Nothobranchius furzeri: one gene and its partners. The protein of the gene in region 1 binds, or shares a complex with, the protein of each later gene. Links are inferred from orthologs where the notes say so. Each region holds a gene or a part of one and is shown on either strand. Other genes may lie near its edges.

Region 1 (4,227 bases):
AGAAAAATAATTAGATTAATTGTCTAAATAGTCATTAGAATATTCGACTATTCGATAAAATAATCGTCAGAATAATCGTTTACCCCCAGCCCTGACAGACAGACAGACAGACAGACAGACAGACAGACAGACAGACAGACAGACAGACAGACAGACAGACAGATAGACAGATAGACAGATAGATAGATAGATAGATAGATAGATAGATAGATAGATAGATAGATAATAGATAGATAATAGATGATGGATAATAGATAGATAATAGATGATGGATAATAGATAGATAATAGATGATGGATAATAGATAGATAGATAGATAGATAGATAGATAGATAGATAGATAGATAGATAGATAGATAGATAGATAGATAGATAGATAGATAGATAGATGATAGATGATAGATGATAGATGATAGATAGATAGATAGATAGATAGATAGATAGATAGATAGATAGATAGATAGATAATAGATAGATAGATAGATAGATAGATAGATAGATAGATAGATAGATAGATAGATAGATAGATAGATAGATAGATAGAGATAGATAGATAGATAGATAGATAGATAGATAGATAGATAGATAGATAGATAGATAGATAGATAATAGATAGATAGATAGATAGATAGATAGATAGATAGATAGATAGATAGATAGATAGATAGATAGATAGATAGATAGATAGATAGATAGATAGATAGATAGATATAGATAGATAGATAGATAGATAGATAGATAGATAGATAGATAGATAGATAGATAGATAGATAGATAGATAGATAGATAGATAGATAGATGAATAGATGGATAGATAGATAGATAGATAGATAGATAGATAGATAGATGATGGCTTGCCAAGCTAAAATCCAAGGGGATTATTTCCAACACTGAGCTCAGAATTTTAAGTGTTTTTCTTTTCACTTATCTCTGATAAGAGACTGAATTAATCACAATTATCTAGTTTTACAGTGTTTGTTATGAGCCCTATAACATCAACCTTCCTGAAAGCCTCACTGTGTCACAGCACAGAATCATATTCCACTGATGTCAAGGGAATAATATAAGCAATCAGTTAGAAAACATTTGGCAGCCTTAAGTCCTGTTGGGGATGTTTAAAAAGGCTTGGCACACGCAACCATTAGAGCATTAAAAGTTTATCTTATTCATCTTACATGAGGCTTGCACTAGTAAGGCATCTGAAGCATTAGAGACTTGCTAGCAGGTGTCAGGACCCAAGGCTTCTCGTTTCATTCATACCTGTATGTCAGTGTCCTTGACTGGTTCCAGGGGCTCAAAGGTGGTGGCAGCACTTAGAGTTTCCAGTCTCTGTGAAATGTGGAAGACGTCTAAACCTCTGGTACCAAGGAGGATGGACCTGTTACAAGAACAAAAGATTGGAGAGGTTTCAACTGGCAGAGAAGTAATTTTACATTGACACCACTAGATGGCAGGCTAGGCTGGCAGGCAAAGTAATCTATCAATTGAACATCATGCCTGAGATTAATAACCTGGGGAAGAAAAGGGTTTAATAACCAAAAAGGTTGCTTACGCTTTCACATCTGCAGCATCTTGAGAGGTGCGAGTTAAGGTGCGGGATCGAAGCCTTTCCCCAGCCTGCTGGATCTCCTGAAGGTTCCTTTCCACATGTGGCAGTTCAGACACAGCTTCTGTTTCTGCAGCCAATTGTTCTGCCTGCTGCAAAAGCTCTCCAAACCCTTCTGCATCCATGACTCTTAACAGGTAGAGAAGTTTATAAATGTGATTTACTTGAAATGAAAACACTGAACAGTTCTCTATGGTAAGTGTTTTGCGGGTCTGGGTTTGTGCAATAAAATATTCCACTAAAAAATATATAATATTTTCATAATTTGCTTAACTTTAAAATAGTATGTGGAATATAAACAAAAATACGTTGTGATTTTACAATGTTTGACACTGTACAGACTTTGTGTTAGAGGTAATTAAAGACAACAGATTACATGACAGGATAGCTTGCCAGTATCTCTGTCAGTAATGACAGAGTGCAACTGTCTTGAAGGGAACATGATGCTCCGTAATCAAATAGTAAACAACTACAATCACAATCATTTCAAACTCCTTAGTTAAAAAACAACTGAACCCAAAAACATACTCTATGTTTTACAGTTTATGATTCATCTTAGATGCGTCAGCTCAGAGCCCAAAGAAGTCAATGTTCACTTTAGACAAGTGTGCACTTCTACAGTCACGTTATAACTTTTATGATGCATGGATAAAAGCTCCTCCTTGCCTTGCAGCTTTTTGATTAATTAAATAAAAACAAGTTTACCCTGTGTTTACATTGAGATACAGCATAACTGAAGATATAAAACACTACTTTTAAAAATTGGATGGTCTAACCTATAATTCTTTATGCTGCCTGGAGTTATAACAAACTGTACTATTTATCTACCAACGTAAAAATGCGTCATGGGGGAAAAGGCTTGAAAGGTAAACATGAGAAAGATTACAGCTGAACAGTTGCAGCGCGCGCATGATGTGCTTGACGAGTTGAGAGATCAATCTTTACGGACGTCAACAGAATACCGTTCGATAGATAAGTTCAGACATTGAAACTGCTTAAGAAATGTGAAAACTCGTACCAGACATTCCAAAACCGTGGTAGCATGCTACAACATAGCCTAGTTACAATCAACCGGCGACGCTAAACGGTTAGCGAGCTGGCTAAGATGCTAACGCTCGCACATGTTTCGACTTCATTTAAATTGATGTTAAATTTCTCTACAGTTGAATGGAGACGATTATTATACCTGTTTTAAAGTTGGATGAAATTACAGTTCAGCCTGTTCGCCTCATGTAAGTGAATAAATGTGCTTTTTAGATAGTTTCGTTCACAGGCAAGCGTAGTCCGCAGAAAGTATACCCCGGTATTTCTGAAGTCGTCGGTGATTGGTCAATTCAGACTGTATAACGGTGCGCATGCGTCTGTCGTCACATGCCTCCTTCAGGGTACTTGGGGAATCCTAGTCAAAAGCAAAAGATACCTATTATTTTCATGTGTGTCATTTTTTGTTTTCCGACTAACATAACATATTTAACAGTGTACATATTTGTTCTTTGTACGTATATTTGTATCCCTGCATTGCTTTAAATAGAACTTATATTAAAAATGATTAGAAGCATCGAGAGTAAAATACTTGGGACACATCACAACCCTAACACCGTACACGTGAAATAAATGAAACAAATCTTTTCATTTTTCATTTATCCCTGCCACTTGTCTTAATTGATACTTTTAATAAACATATATATTTTAAATGACCTAATACAATGCAGCCAATGGAATGATATTTTCTGTTTGTTTTTTTGTCGGCTCTAAACAAAAACACTGAAGCGTGAATCACAAAGAGCAGATGGGTGCTGAACTCCTGCTTCCAGACTCAACTGTGCAATGATCTGGTCATCTGGGGCACAAGCCCCAGAGCTACTTCATTATGTAACACAGTTTATGGGCACATGGACATAGCTGCACAACTGTGTGACGTTTTGTGATAAAACAAAAATCTTCACACAAACTTATTTTGTTCTTGTTCCATGAGCTGCATACGTTTCTGTCAGTGAAATAATTCAAGTGGCACAAAATTATTTAGAAATGAAAAATCTGACATTATTTGAAACAAGAGTGAAAGAACGTGCCACAGAAGTTTTTCTTTTAAATGTCCATATAAACTCAACATGTCCTCCTTTAAAAACAATAAAAGGTATAGAAATTAATGAATGAGCTTGTATTTATACTAGTATATAGTAAGTTATTGATGCCTTCACATATTGATGCTATTTTAAAAACATAAACACCACCAGAGAATGGAAAGCTCTTTTTTATCTGACATCTTGCGACAACGTTGTGATCTTTTCTGGCACGCATTGTTCTAAATCATCCTTTTTATTAAAGCTCAAGTTCTTGTGAACCACTGTTTAACACGTGTTACTTTTTGATATTCCTTTTTTACATCATAGTTGTCAAAGAGCTGATTCATAAAGTGTAATATTGTAAAATCATCTAATTTTGTTGTGATCCAAAAACTGGACTTAGAAAAATAACTTTTTCATAATAATCTTTTTAAATAGTTCTAATACTCAATAAATACATTCTGTTAAACCATCTACCTGAATTTGACATTAGTTACTCCTAAAGCTGGATTTACAATTTCTAAATAATTACTGATGATCTATATCCATGTTTTT
Region 2 (3,887 bases), on another chromosome or scaffold:
ACAAACTGTAGTCCATTTTTATATTTGTGACATGGCTGTTTAATTTCCTGGGAATTTTTTACTGTAGAAATGGTGAATTGTATTTTTTAACATTGTATTAGAATGAAAATCTCAAAGTGTTTTGCAACATACCTGTGAGGTTGGCCAACATGTTCTACTACCTTATCTGGAGCTGTTAAGAAAACCAATGCTTCTGCTTGTCAGTGCGCCCCAGGGCAGCTGTGGCTACATCGTAGCTCATCACCATCAGTGTGTGAATGGATGAATGATACACTGTAGTGTAAAGTGCTTTGGAGTCCTTACTCTGAGAGGTGCTATACAAGTGCGGGTCATTTATCATTTCTTGCACCCGCCTCCTTGTGTTTTTACATCTAATCTAGGGCTCAGGTAGAATTAAGCAGCTTGTAGATCATTACTGAGACAAATTACAGTTAAAGCTCTAAAATGATTAAGTAATTTAGATTATTTCAACTCAAAAAGTCTGGTAGATCTTTCATGTTTCAGATTAGATGTGAGAATTAGAGTCATGACACACCACATCAGGCTGAATGAGATCCACTGCAATTGTTTTATTTAATCACACTACCCAGAACATTTAATATGATCAATTAACTTTATAAAGAACTATTGAGAAAATATTTATCTTAATAAAACCAAAACAGAAAGTGAAATGAGTAAATCCAAACAAAAGAGCATAATGTTTATGCAGAGTTAAACTCATCAACAGATCAGTCAAAGGTTAAACGAAAGCTCTTCTCCTGCTCCTTGCGTTGGGTGTCGCAGAGTTTAGACACTTCTTCCACTCTTCTCTGCAGGAGAACCGAGTTCTGGTCGATCCACTGCAGCGAATCCATGTGGGCGTTGAGAATTTTACAAATCTGCTGGAGCTAAAACAGAGAGAAAGAGATGAATGAAAAAGGCAAACATCATAATGACAGGTTTAAGGATGACTTAGATCTGATCTTACTGGGTCACTGGAGTCAGCTGGGCCGCTGGATGTGTTCAGGTGCTCAATTATCTCCTTCAGGTCCTGAGACATCCTCTTCAGCTGTGCGTCTACGTTCTCAGCGAGCTTGTATGTTCTCTCACGCTCCTCATCGGCATTCTGCATGTAGATGGTTCCGCTCTGCTCCTTCACGGACTCCTCCAGCGGACACAGCAGGTCCTCCAGCTCCTTCTGCTGGGACAGGATGAAGTCCAGCTCCTGGTTCAGCCTCCTCTGGTCCAGCTTCACCTTCTCCAGCTCCTTGTGCAGGGATGTGATCTTCTCTCCGTTCTCCACCAGCATGCGGTCCCAGGCATTCACCTGAGTCGCTTGCTGTAAGAAATGTCTTTCTTGGTCCTCCAGCTCAAGACTCCACTTGTTTATGAGGCTCTCCAGCTGGGCATAGGTCATCACAGGAGGAGCAGTGGTGGTGGTGGTGCCGATTGTTGTGGCTGTTGTGGTTGTGCTTGTGGTGGATGTAGTTTTGAGTCCCAGTATGAAGCCCGTAGCTGTGCCTGTGGTGGCGGCTGCAGTTAGGATGGAGGCCGGAGCAGAGGTGGTGGTTGCTGAACTCAGAGGTTTGAGTGGGAAGGATAAGCCCCCTCCAGCTGCTGTGGTGGTTGCAGTGCTCACCGATGAAAGTGGAGCCGAAATTGGAGCTGCACCAAACATGAATCCTGGAGCTGCTGCTGTAGTGGCGGCGGTGGTGGTTATGGGTGTCGCAAACAGAGTAGGGCCTGGAGTCGGAGCCACCTGGGTGGTTGCTGTAGGGGCTGGGGTTGATGAAGGTTTAATCCCAAAGTTAAAACCTCCACCCTGGGTGGTTGGAGCTGCAGAGGCGGTGGTTGCAGGGGTTCCAAAGCTGAATCCCGCTCCTGTGGCAGCAGTGGGGGCTGCAGCTGAGGTCACCTGGACTTTGGGAGCACCAAAACTGAACCCTCCAATGGACATGCCACTTGCTGCTGTCGTGGCTGTGGGTGCTACCACTGACTGAGGCTGGACTTGTGTGGGAGCACCGAAGGTGAATCCTCCCCCGCTTGGTGCCACTGTTGCTACTGCTGGTGCAGCAGCTGGGGGCTGCGAGGTTAGCAGGCTGCCTAAGGTGAACCCTGACCCGGCAGCCGGAGTTGCTGCAGAGCCCAGACTCAACCCTGTTGCTGCCGGTGTTGTCTGAGGGGTAGCAAGAGCAAACGAGGCAGTAGGCGTGCTAAAAGACAACCCCGTGCCGCCTGCGGAACTCTTGGCTGGGGTGCCAAAGCTGAAAGAGGCGGTGGGGTTGGTCTGGTTGGCATTTCCAAAGGCGAACCCCCCTCCCGGAGCTGCTGAGCTGGTTAATGTAAAACCCGCGTTGGGGGCAGCGGCAGTGGTCTTCTGCGCTCCAAAGGCGAACCCTGCATTCTGTCCGAAGTTGAATCCGCCACTCATTATCCTCACAAGAAGTTAAACACAGCCGTTACGTGTCGTTTAAAACGGCCACTTCCTTGCCGAATCTTGTGGCTTTTGGCGGGTCGCTATGACCAACTCCTCCGACTGAAGTTCCTAAAATCCCCACTGCGTCTATTTAAGTAACTTTGCACAGATACGCAGGAAATGAATGAAATCACACGCTAATCAACGTTACCTTCCGAGGAATATAGAGCCAAAATCAATAACACATTGCTAAAAACGTGGGCCTGTGAACCGACATTTCCTTTAACAGGCAATTATCTGGCCACCTAAAGGAAGTGACGACACCCGAGACGCGGCATTCTCGTATGCCCTGAATTTTGTCTGCAGGGACATAATTCCGCCTATTAATTTATTTGGCAACTGTTTTATCCAATCAGAGTTATGATTAGATTTGAGGTACATGATAGGCTCATTTGACTGCCTGATAGACAAACATTCGGAAAAATATATAGTTTGGCCTTTACAAAGAGTATGCAAAGGCAAGATAGTTACAGAATAACGAGCACTATCAACTCTTCTTCTTTCATACACACGTGAATAAAAGACATTATTTAGGACATTATCGTGCATTTATACGTCTTTATTTTCGCAATTTACCGTCAATATTGACAATAATTTTAAATACAGCCTTTCAACAGAACTTCGTGTCGGTATACGCCAGGCAACAACGATGAATCCTCTTGAACTTTGTAGTAACTCTTTGAATTAGCTTGTTGACTTTTCTGCTTCGGTGGATTTAGCAGCGATCACTTGAAGTACACACCGGACGATACACAAACATTGCAGCGCGGCCGTAGTTATGGATGCTGAACCTGCATCAATTAGCAACGTAACTGAACAATAATAAATTTAACAGCGTGTTTGCGAGCTGCTGGGTTTGCTCAACGAGCTAGTGTCGTTAAATAACACTAAGTGTGGCTCGGAAGCCACCTGCTTCCTCCGAATAACTAGTAAACCCGGTCAACATGAGGCTTCTGAGGTTTCTGAGGAACAGCGTGTCAGTAGGGAAGGATATCGATTATTACTCCAGATTTTCTCCTTCCCCTCTTTCAATGAAGCAGTTTCTGGATTTTGGTGAGATGTATTCATATAACACTCTAGGGATGTAAAAATAATTCAATGCACTGAAATATCACAACATTTCGGTTTATGATACAGAATCGATATTTAAAAGCAGAGTATCTATTATTGAGAATTTACATGCCAACATTTCTTGTATTTCTTTTGTGTGGTGCAGATCAAACACTGACAGCTAGGTGGCAGCAGTTTCTTCCTCCTTCAGTCTGACAGACCGATATCTTGCGAAAACACTGGAATTGTCTGAGTTTTCCCAGTTAAATTCACTTAAAAATTGCAAAAATAGTCAGCCTTTTAGTATCTCAATATATCGTATCGTCTCTCCTGTATAGCAACATATTATATTGCTAGATACTTGCCAATTAACACCCAGTTT
Region 3 (4,209 bases), on another chromosome or scaffold:
ATAAGCAGCACTCTGCAGCTCTCTCATTTCAGCCGCTTGCATCAGTGATCTTATTCTGTTGGTCATACCCAAAGGAGCACGGACTCAATTTCAATAAGAAGCAAGTTATGTCCAATAGGGATGCACCGAAGCTCAGCCACAGAAGATTTTCAGCCAAAAACGAAACACGTAAATTGCTGAAACACAGTTGAAATAGGCTCATTTTCACTTTATTACATTCAAATATTCAAAGGCCAATCAGATATATAATTCAGATTTATATGGAATATCACATCTTATTGATCATTTCATAAATGTAGCTAATCCTTACCACTATAATCATAAAATAAAATCTCACAACACAGACTTGAGATTATTTTTGCTTTTTGAACCATTTAGCCTGTTGAGAGTTTAATGTTAGGTTGTCACCGACAGCAGCTACATTTAAGGGTATAGCAAAGGATCTATTTTTTTTCTTCTCATCCTAGAAGCTTCTAGCATAGAACCTTCTTTTTACTTACATTGTTTTATGCTAAGCTAAAGCGAAACTTACTGCTTCCAGATCAGGAGAATGACTGAGCTTGCTAGCTACAAAATCCTTTTTCTCACTTATCTAACTCTGAGAAACCCATCAACAGACAGCATGTTACTACTGAGTGGAATATGCCTTTAAATTTGATGTTTTGCACCATTTTTTAAAACATTATTTTTTTAATACAATGTGGTAGTGTGCTTTAGTTTTTTTTTTTTTGCTTGAAGATTCCACCTCGACCAGATGCTATTTTGCACCATTATTCTGGGTACTGTTTGATTTTCTTTATTTTAAACACTTAAAAAAAACTTCAATCAGTTTTATTTTCTATTGTTCTGAAAACGTTCGCACATTTTTTATGTTTTGAGTTAATATTTATTGAACTTCAAATATAAAACTAAGAGATTCATTGACTTATTTAATTTATAGTGCACACAGCTAGTGTCCAGTACAATCAACGTGCTGCTAAAACTGTGTGTGTGTGTGTGTGTGTGTGTGTGTGTGTGTGTGTGTGTGTGTGTGTGTGTGTGTGTGTGTGTGTGTGTGTGTGTGTGTGTGTGTGTGTGTGTGTAATCGGCTCTAGATATCGACCATTGGCAACAAAAATTTTTAAGAATTGGTATCGGCCTTCCTTAAGAAACCATGTTGGTCAGCCTCTAGTCTGCATCATAATCATCTTGGATTGCATTTCAGTGAAATGATCCACATTTAAAAAGATGAGAGCTGTGTCCTAACGTTCACAGGTTAAGGCTGTTATGAAAGCAGCACGAAAATTGTCAAATTCTGAAGATAAACAATGGTGACCAAAGTGGGTTCGCAGTGGGTTCAGGAAAATGGTTCCAAATTAGAATAAAACCCACGAGCTGATCTGAAGTCCTAAACCAAACCTGCTGCCGCGTGTCAGTATTCTTCCAGGGAAACCACTACGGGTGCAAACGGGACTAAGCATGTGACTGCATATAAAGGCAGCCAGCCCCGATAGTAAGAAAACAACACCAGAACTTTGTAGAAAACTTTTATCTACCTTGTGACTCCATTCTGATGCCGCGATTTTCAAAAGAAGGAAGTGACGACCGCTGACGATCCTACTCCTGCTCTTACTTCTCGCGGTTGTCGCACACACAGCTAGCCTGCCAGCAAACCGTACCTACAAACGCGATATGATCCGTTCGGTTGGAACGAACCTGTTTGTGGAAATTCTCTCATGTATATGAACTCTGATTGAACGAGTAAACACCGAATAACTTCCGGCGCTCGTGGATGACGTCACCAAAAGTGCGTTTCGTGAAAGATGTTCGCACTTCGCATCCTCTTCTCTTGCCGTGCTTTGAAGACGAGAGACTCCACAAGCATGAAAGCTGTGCATCTGTGTTCTAAATTTAAGCTAAAAGTTATGTTCACACATTAAAAACTTTTGTGGTTTATAAAGAATTTTAGTTTTCATCTGAATAAATAAAGGGATTAAAAGCGGGAACCACTCCAAAACAATCTCTCAACCTTTGCTTTTTTGGCTGATGTCAGCACAGTGCTGGGCAGAATGTGCTCAAGTGTAAATGTTTGGTAAAAAAATAATGCGTTTTCATTAAAATCCCGCTTCGTTAGCCTGGCATGCCAGATTAATTACATACAATTTGGAGTAGTTCACTAGTTTTGTAACTTCTTTGTCGAACACGCTCAACTACACGTCATATAATTACACCCTGAATTTTAAAGCTCATCAACACACCAGAAGTAGTTTGAAATGTGTCAGTGTGTTGTGAAAATAAAAGCCAGCAGCATCTTTCTGGTTCATACAAGCCCGTAGAGGACTAGAGGCTCTTGCTCATCACATAACTTAGCTCTGTTTCCTGACACTAGTCCAGCTCGGAGTCGTTTCAGTTTTACGAACCGCGTTTCTAGACTTTGCTTAATTTGCACATCTACCAGCTACTTGGCTGTTTGAGTTTTATTTTGAAAACCAATAACCGGATGCAATTTGCTGTGTTGTGCTTAGCTTGTTGCCGGCTAGAGCCGGACGCTGATACGGATCTCGGACGTGTAGGAGTTAAAACGCACGAAAGGTGACGGAACTACAGTTTTGTTCGATTGAATACAAATAAGATGAACTCTAGAGGATAATCAGTTTAGTTGTGTCAGCCGTATAAGCTGCAGAGCTAAATGATCCGCTAGCTTAGCACAAGTGGATACTTTTGTATGTGTTTAAGGACGTAAAACAAACAGTGTGAGGTGTTCTGGTGCAGATTCTCACTCATCCAGGTCATGGTGATCCAAGCGTTCAGATGAAGGCAGCTGGACTCCTCTGGTTTCTTGAAGACGTTTCTCTTGTCCTCCGAGGAGCTTTGTCAGTTCTGACTGGAATATGGGAGAGTCCAGTTTATAAGCTGTAGCTGTCTGTTGTTGTTTAACGAGCAGAAACTACTGTGGGTACTCCTCTCCATCCCCTGATGAGTCGTGGGCTTCTGTTGTATAATGTGAGCTAAGTAACATCTCTTTGGTCCTTCAGTCAGACCAGAACATATTTGTTTATTCAGCTCAGAAAGTCAACATGTAGTAGTTGATTTAATTAAAGATGTACAAATGAGTAATATCAAAGAAAAAGGATGCCCCTCCCTCTGGTGATAACACTTTTATCCTTGGGGGGAGTTTTCTCTTTCTATAGGAGGACCTTGTGTGACGTCTACATCCCAGTGCTTTAGTACCGGGGCCTTTTTTCCAGGGTATGATGACTACCGGTAGTTTAACCGGTCATTTATTAGTCAAAACCTCTGAGATTTCTGAAAACCCATCTCTGTCCGTGTCCAAGTAAATACCAGCCATCCACTGTATGATGCTGTTCAAGTTCCCACAATGACTAACGGCATGCAGCACCTGATCAACCAAGTCAGGTGTGGAAGAGATGGCATCCAAACAGAAATATAGATGAGGAGCAAACACAAGAAAGAAAAAGTCAAAACCAGAGGAGTGTGTTGTGGGCATAAACATCCCAGCTGCTGTTCATGAGACAGAAGAGAGAATAATTGTGTCTGGGTGTGGACTGGAGGTGGAATTTTACAGCAGCATCATTATTATTCACTCAATTCAATTGAAGTTTATTTATAAAGCGCCAAATCACGACGAGTTGTCTCAAGGACCTTCACATAATAAAATATTCTAATACAGGTCAGTTCATTAAGCCAATCAGTAAAATGTTTCCTAAATAAGGAACCCAGCAGGTTGCATCGAGTCACTGACTAGTGTCAGAGTCTTTACAGCAATCCGCATACATAAGCAAGCATGCAGCGACAGTGGAGAGGAAAACTCCCTTTTAACAGGAAGAAACCTCCAGAGGATCCTGGCTCAGTATAAGCAGCCATCCTCCACGACTCATATAAATGTCTGATATCGTCTTTGGCTCAAAGCCTTTCAATCCATGCTATAAATAGTATTAATATTATTGGTGGATATAAATAATATGAGAGAGAGAGAGAGAGAGAGAGAGAGAGAGAGAGAGAGAGAGAGAGAGAGAGAGAGAGAGAGAGAGAGAGAGAGAGAGAGAGAGAGAGAGAGAGAGAGAGAGAGAGAGAAAATGACACCCCTCCCCCATCCCAGCACACGCACCAGTCAGTGACTTGATGCAATTTGCTGGGTTCCTTATATAGGAAACATTATTTCTGATTGGCTTAATGAACTGACCTGAATTGGAATTTTTATTATGTGAA

What was found.
Region 2: nup93 (region 1) and nup62l share a complex: the UniProt entries of both Homo sapiens proteins name them as parts of the p62 complex. The link is inferred for Nothobranchius furzeri from reciprocal best matches to the Homo sapiens genes NUP93 and NUP62.
Region 3: the proteins of nup93 (region 1) and nup35 are in contact, whole or in part, in a crystal structure (PDB 7MW1), measured with the Homo sapiens proteins. The link is inferred for Nothobranchius furzeri from reciprocal best matches to the Homo sapiens genes NUP93 and NUP35. Residues at the interface, in NP_055484.3 of Homo sapiens: Tyr266, Tyr269, Asn402, Ala407, Asp408, Lys409, Thr410, Glu411, Tyr413, Tyr448, His452, Phe453, Val455, Asn456, Leu461; in NP_612142.2 of Homo sapiens: Ala88, Pro89, Pro90, Val91, Arg92, Ser93, Ile94, Tyr95.

What each region holds. Positions count from the first base shown.
Region 1 is NC_091744.1:86,665,185-86,669,411, reverse strand, and holds the start of nup93 (nuclear pore complex protein Nup93), read right to left. Parts: upstream 2,948-4,227; 5' UTR 2,793-2,947; intron 1,736-2,792; 5' UTR 1,732-1,735; coding exon 1,553-1,731; intron 1,379-1,552; coding exon 1,261-1,378; intron 1-1,260. UniProt on the Homo sapiens protein: Plays a role in the nuclear pore complex (NPC) assembly and/or maintenance. May anchor nucleoporins, but not NUP153 and TPR, to the NPC. During renal development, regulates podocyte migration and proliferation through SMAD4 signaling.
Region 2 is NC_091754.1:20,876,601-20,880,487, forward strand, and holds nup62l (nucleoporin 62 like), read right to left. Parts: upstream 2,602-3,887; 5' UTR 2,411-2,601; coding exon 968-2,410; intron 888-967; coding exon 729-887; 3' UTR 550-728; downstream 1-549. Other genes in the region: pdk1 (pyruvate dehydrogenase (acetyl-transferring) kinase isozyme 1, mitochondrial), read left to right, coding at 3,400-3,508. UniProt on the Homo sapiens protein: Essential component of the nuclear pore complex. The N-terminal is probably involved in nucleocytoplasmic transport.
Region 3 is NC_091754.1:38,657,282-38,661,490, forward strand, and holds the start of nup35 (nucleoporin NUP35), read right to left. Parts: upstream 2,894-4,209; 5' UTR 2,773-2,893; coding exon 2,760-2,772; intron 2,572-2,759; exon of another isoform or gene 2,469-2,571; intron 1,751-2,468; exon of another isoform or gene 1,549-1,750; coding exon of another isoform or gene 1,536-1,548; intron 1-1,535. UniProt on the Homo sapiens protein: Functions as a component of the nuclear pore complex (NPC).